2 linked regions of the Kluyveromyces lactis genome follow. The protein of the gene in region 1 interacts with the protein of each later gene in a pairwise test. Links are inferred from orthologs where the notes say so. Each region holds a gene or a part of one and is shown in the gene's direction. Other genes may lie near its edges. The genes, in order: CAC2 and MSI1.

Region 1 (3,467 bases):
AACACACAAGATCCGTCAACTGGTTACTCAAATGTCGCAAGACACCAATCAAGCGTATCCGTTCTCACTTCCGATCATAGTACCATTAGGTTCGTTACCTGGGTCCCAAGTGGAAATGTTCCAAAATCACAACTCCGTGACACCAGAAGCGTCTACAGAAGATTTTAGGAAACTGATTGGTGATGCTACATGCTTCTGTCCCAACAAAGTCATAGACTGGTCCATCCGTGAAGCAATCTCTTTGGAATCATCAAGATTGGCATTTTCCGTCGGCTCGACCCAACAACCGGGAACCCATATATTGTTCACTTCGGACTACTCAGATGAAGATATGCAAAGTGTGATGGACCACATCAACAACAGGGGGTCTCTTGCTGAAATAAACCACTCACTACCCAGTTTCTCAGCAATAGCTATTCCAAAATACCATTATCTGGCAAAGACAGCATGCGACGTTGAATAAGTACTAGAAACAAGACGTCAGACACTAGATCTGGTTAACGACAAGGACAAAAAGAACAAGAACATACATACAAACATAAACCCAAGGCTATAATAAATAATTTTAAACTAAATATAAAATTGTGGGGAACTTCATTTGTATTCCAATCCAAAGGGTATAGAACTGGTTCTCACGAACAGATCTATCATAAATTGAAATAATTGTAAACAAAGACTCCAAGAGGATGTTCCTTGTATTTCAAAGGACCCTCAGATGCACATTTCATTGGTGCACACCCGAAGTACCACACCTCTCCAGTTAGCAGTTCATTTAAGCACAATAACGGCTCCAGTAGTCTATTGAAAGAAAAGTTTACTGGGAATTTGACTGATGCGCTGAGTAAAATTCTCCTGAATCTCAACGCATTGGTATCTGCTGATACCACTACAAACTTCCCAAGTATAAAATGTTGCAATAGATGCAACAGTTGATCTGATCTGATCTGTGAGTACAGTTTCAGACAGCTCGAGCCTGAGTTATGACTAAAGTAATGGTGACAGATCTGAAAATTTTTTCAAACTGACTGAATTTATATTGAAAAAAACTGTTATTTCAGTCTACTATAGGGCTATTATATTGAAAAAAAGAGAAAAGACAGGCGGAAGGGGGTTGTATGTCGTGTTCACTACCTTTATTCAGTGTTGGAATATTTCTAATGGCATAAGGTTCCCATCATGCAATGTATATATTCATTTAAATATCCAATTTGCTGCTGTATCGCTGATATTCTTTCCTTAAGAAATCGAATTCCTCAGTAAAAGACGATACACGTAAACAATCTGGAAAAAAAAAGAATATCAGGCATTGAAGGGAAAGGTAACGTTGATCTAAAGAGTTATAACGAAATTTGTTAACGCACTAGTAGAGTAATTCTGAGCTCATAAGATAGGACTAGTTCAATTTATCTCAGTTCGAGTAGAGAAAGTGGAAAAAATGGTACAATCCGAGAGTTTACAGATATATTGGCATGACTCTCATCCGATATACTCGTTATGTTTTCAACCCTTATCAGAGACTAACCAGAACACTAGACGGTTGTTCACTTCGGGAGGTGACAATAAAATCAGGGTCTGGCAATTGAATGAGAGCGAAAATGATGGGAAGATAGAGACAATTGATTTTCTTTCGTCGTTGACGCAGCACGAACAAGCTGTCAACGTTTGTCGATTCAATAAGCAAGGTGACACGTTAGCCACGGCGGGAGACGATGGGTTATTGTTACTATGGAAGAAGAACGAGACTATGGTAAAGGAATTTGGTGTAGATGATGATGAATTCCAAGATTTTAAGGAATCGTGGGCTGTATGGAAGCGATTAAGGTCAGGGTCAGCCTCGAATGCCGAGATTTATGATATTTCATGGAACCCTCAGGGAACGTGCATAGCTATTGCATCTTTGGATAACACCGTACGAGTGTTCAATGTGGATCAGGGAAAAGTGGTAGGACATATAACGGAGCATAATCATTACGTGCAAGGGATTGTATGGGACCCTCAGGGAGAATTTATCGTATCGCAATCTGCAGACAGATCATTGGCGATTTGTAAGATGATTTATGAGGACAACGAAGTAAAGGGCTTACAATTAGTGAATAAAATATTAAAATCAGAACTACCAAGGAGGAAAAATCCTGGTGAAAAAGAACTCGATTTTGATAAGTCGAAGGTGACTTTCTTATTCCATAACGAAACCCTTCCGTCATTTTTCAGAAGGCTGTCCATGTCACCATGCGGCAGTCTCTTATGTGTACCAGCTGGGGTCTTCAGAAATGATGAACAAACGGATGCCTCAAATAATAACCCAGAGTACGCGAATGCCGTATATATTTACACAAGGGCTTCTCTAACTTCAAATTCAAACAAACCCGTGTTTTCACTACCCTTTCTACAAAAACCGGCATTAGTGGTCAAGTTTAATCCTATCATGTACGAAACCGCGTCTGAATGGGTGAAAGCACCTTATACACTGGTATTCGCTGTAGCAACTACGAATGAAGTGCTGGTGTACGACACACAAAATACCAGTCCTATAGCGATCGCAGGAAATTTGCATTATACCCCCATAACAGATCTTGCGTGGAGCCAAGACGGAACATTACTAATGATATCAAGCACAGACGGGTTCTGCTCATATATTCACTTCACAGACAATGATTTTGGCACACCTTTGAAAGATCAATCTATACCAATCTTGACGAAGGAACTCGAATCACAATCGCAATCACAATCACAACCAGAATCATCACAAAAGGCTAGTATCGTAAATCTTAGTACCGGTGCCGCCGAAACTCCAAACCCTTCACCAGCTAAAAGATCGATCTCGCAGCTTGTCTCAGAAGCTGCAACCACAGTTGGAAAGGAGAAGCTCAAACGCAGGGTTCAACCTACTCTCGTCACATCAGATCAACCTAAATAGAACTAGATTAGTTTATAGAGAGGGAGATGGCGGAATAACACGTGACTTTGAACTGTTCTCTACGCAATAATTACTGTGTATAGTAGTAAGTAATAATCGCCGAGTTAAGATTCGAGACACCAGCCGATTGCCTTATTGCCAAGCCCGTGACAAGAATCAGGGTGTTGGCAGTTCTAGGAGGTAGAAACAGAAAGGTCTGGGAAACAATATAGAAACAAAATAGGAAATGCAAAAAAATGGTTAGTCACGTGATCAACATTTCTCTCTGGAAAGACATCTAGCTGTAAAGGACACACTCTAGCATGTAATTGAGAATGGATTTCATTTACTGGTATATGTACGATTTATAGATATCTACACAATTGTACCTATCATTTCAGTAGAGACTGTAGGTATTCACTGTTTTCCACCTTTAGTTCCATACTCTTTCTTGCCTGCCATACCATTAATCTCTTTCTTTCTTCTATGGAAAGATCGTTGGGATTCAAGTTTGAAAGATCTTCTTGTGGATCCACGTTGAATTTTTTTAGCAGATTGTCAGCTTTAATGT
Region 2 (3,366 bases), about 1.1 Mb from region 1:
TATCGGTGGTTCAGATTTGGGTCCAGTTATGGTGACTGAAGCATTGAAACATTATGCTACCAACTTGAAGGTACACTTTGTTTCTAACATTGACGGTACTCATATTGCTGAAACTTTGAAGGATTTGGACCATGAAACCACTTTGTTCTTGATCGCATCCAAGACTTTCACCACTGCTGAGACTATCACTAACGCAACTAGTGCTAAGAACTGGTTCTTATCTAAGAACGGTGGTGACCAATCCCATATCTCCAAGCATTTTGCTGCTTTGTCCACTAACGCTACTGAAGTTGAAAAGTTCGGTATCGACACAAAGAACATGTTCGGTTTTGAAAACTGGGTCGGTGGTCGTTACTCTGTTTGGTCCGCTATTGGTTTGTCAGTTGCTCTATACATCGGTTTCGACAACTTTGAAGCATTCTTGAAGGGTGCTGAGGCAGTAGACAAGCATTTCGTTGAAACTCCATTGGAAGACAACATTCCATTGTTGGGTGGTCTATTATCTGTTTGGTACAACAACTTCTTCGATGCTCAAACACATTTGGTTGCGCCATTCGATCAATACTTGCACAGATTCCCAGCTTATTTGCAACAATTGTCTATGGAATCCAACGGTAAGTCCGTCACCAGAGGTAATGTTTTTGCAAACTACTCTACTGGTTCTATCTTGTTCGGTGAACCAGCTACCAATGCTCAACATTCTTTCTTCCAATTGATTCACCAAGGTACCAAATTGATTCCATCTGATTTCATCTTGGCAGCCCAATCTCATAACCCAATTGAAAACAACCTACATCAAAAAATGCTAGCATCTAACTTCTTCGCTCAAGCTGAGGCATTGATGGTCGGTAAAGATGAAGAACAGGTCAAATCAGAAGGTGCCACTGGTGGTCTAGTACCTCACAAGGTCTTCTCTGGTAACAGACCAACCACTTCCATCTTGGCTCAAAAGATTACTCCAGCTACCCTTGGTGCTTTGATTGCTTACTACGAACACGTTACATTCACCGAAGGTGCTATCTGGAACATCAACTCATTTGACCAATGGGGTGTTGAATTAGGTAAGGTTTTGGCTAAGGTTATTGGTAGTGAATTGGCCACTGATAACAAGATTTCTTCTCACGACAGTTCCACCAACGGTTTGATCAACCAATTTAAAGAATGGATCTAATGTGAGAATGCGATGCAATTTCCTTTTCACCTAAGATATGCAGTGAACTTAGAATTCCACATCTTTACGTACAACCAAACTAAATAAACTTCTTTATCAAAACGCTATGTGCAATGAATGACTTATATACGACAATGTCACGAATATCAACTACATTGGAAGTAATTGTTTTCACTTAATCAATCTCTTTTTTCATATTTACATTAAGGAAAATGAAAAATGATACACGTCCAAAAGATTCAACAACGCGTGATGTAGTGCGAGAGTACAGACATCGAGATTGTGACAAGATATAACAATACCAAGCTAGCTCATAGCATATAGAGGACGCAACAATGAGTGAGTTGATTATAGAAGAACCTCCAGAACTGGGCTCTGGAATTTCTAATGAAGTACAGCAAAGGTATACCAATTGGAAGAAGAATACAAAGTTGCTCTACGACTATTTGAATACAAACACATCGAAATGGCCATCTCTATCCTGCCAATTCTTCCCAGACCGTACTCTTACGAATGACAAACAAAGGATATTATTATCTTCATTCACATCGCAGCAACTTCCGCAGGATGAGTCAATTTACATCGGGTCCATATCTACCATGAATCATATGAAATGGAGTTCCATCAATAACTTCGACATGGATGAAATGGAATTTAAACTGGATAATTCATTGAAACTGAACGACAAGACATTAGAAGAAGAGGTACGAATAACGTACCCTGACGGTGATTGCAACAGATGTCGGTACATGCCTCAGAACCCCGATATAATTGGGACTGCATCATCAAATGGATCAGTGTACATATTTGATAGAACGAAACATGGTAATAAGATTTCCACAGGCAGGAAATTCGAAATCGAATGCAGAAATAACGGTGACGATGAACAGGACGAGAGTTTATCCCTTGCATGGAATTACCAATTGGAGGGTACCTTAGCTACATGTCAAAGTAACGGGAAAGTAAAAGTATGGGATCTTACTAAATTTGATAAGTCGAAACAGAGAATGGAAATACCTGAAAGAGAGAGTGTGATGGACGCGAATGGAGTCAATGATGTGTCATGGATGGTAAACCACACTTCCATTTTAGCATCATGCGGAGAATCCAACGTCATTGGACTGATAGACATAAGACAAGATACGAAAATGGACACATTACACCGTACTACACATACAGATGGAATCAATGCCATCGAGTTTAACTATAAGAACGATATGATATTGTGTACCGGTGATTCTCAGGGCCAGTTAAAGATCTGGGACATAAGAGATTTCAAGGAGCCAATAAAGGAATGGGAACATGGAGATCAGGATCCCATCTCTGCCATTCAATGGAACCCTCAGATACCGCAAATACTGGCCACTGCAGATCAACAGAGTGGATTAGTGAAGATATGGGATGCATCAGGTGAACAAGAGGACTCTAACGCTGAAAACAACATGCTATTATTTGTCCATGGTGGTCACATGCTCGGAGTCAACGACATTTCATGGTCACAACATGATCCATGGACCATGTGCAGTGTATCGAACGACAATTCAATTCATATCTGGAAGCCAGCAGCAAACTTAGTAGAACAATTGTAGATTAAACTGGAACATGTCGTCGATATATACATGTATCGGTATTGTTTATTCGCATATAATAAATGTGTCGCACGACACAAGAAACACGTTACTCTTCCTTGAATTCCTTTCACGTGACCTATAACCAATCATAGCACTGAACATGGACCAAATCACCGGGTACGAGATGCCACTCTTTACAACTCTCTACAACTCTCTACAACTCTTCTATGCAAACAGGTATACAAAGGATATGCCAATCTACCATGTTTCAACTCTATACTAGTTGCACAAGATACGCCATCAGCAACTGTTGTATGTTTTATAGTTGTATACTACTTTATGCCAATACTTTCCACTACGTATAGCCCATTTTTTATTTTCCAGCAGCCAGGCCAATTCGAGGGAAAACAAAATTTTCTCTTTCAACTTTTGGCGAAACTTTTAGGATTTGGAAATACCTACACTTTTCACACATCGAAATCCAATTAACTGACCTTTAATTAGTTAGAAGTTATAGACATACGTTTGTGTTATTCTTGAATTGTAGTTCATTTTGAGTTTTATTTCGACTAGCTGATTGACTGCCCTTTCATTTAGATCCTTATCTACTTTTAATTTGCCGTT

The links.
Region 2: the proteins of CAC2 (region 1) and MSI1 interact in binary tests that used the Saccharomyces cerevisiae proteins (3 or more experiments, as listed by UniProt). The link is inferred for Kluyveromyces lactis from reciprocal best matches to the Saccharomyces cerevisiae genes CAC2 and MSI1.

What each region holds. Positions count from the first base shown.
Region 1 is NC_006041.1:982,234-985,700, forward strand, and holds CAC2 (Cac2p), read left to right. Parts: upstream 1-1,435; coding exon 1,436-2,917; downstream 2,918-3,467. Other genes in the region: KLLA0_E11155g (HAD domain phosphoesterase family swiss army knife RNA repair protein), read left to right, coding at 1-463; CUE1 (Cue1p), read right to left, coding at 3,289-3,467. UniProt on the Saccharomyces cerevisiae protein: Acts as a component of the histone chaperone complex chromatin assembly factor 1 (CAF-1), which assembles histone octamers onto replicating DNA.
Region 2 is NC_006041.1:2,093,740-2,097,105, forward strand, and holds MSI1 (Msi1p), read left to right. Parts: upstream 1-1,506; coding exon 1,507-2,760; downstream 2,761-3,366. Other genes in the region: PGI1 (glucose-6-phosphate isomerase), read left to right, coding at 1-1,171. UniProt on the Saccharomyces cerevisiae protein: Acts as a component of the histone chaperone complex chromatin assembly factor 1 (CAF-1), which assembles histone octamers onto DNA during replication and repair.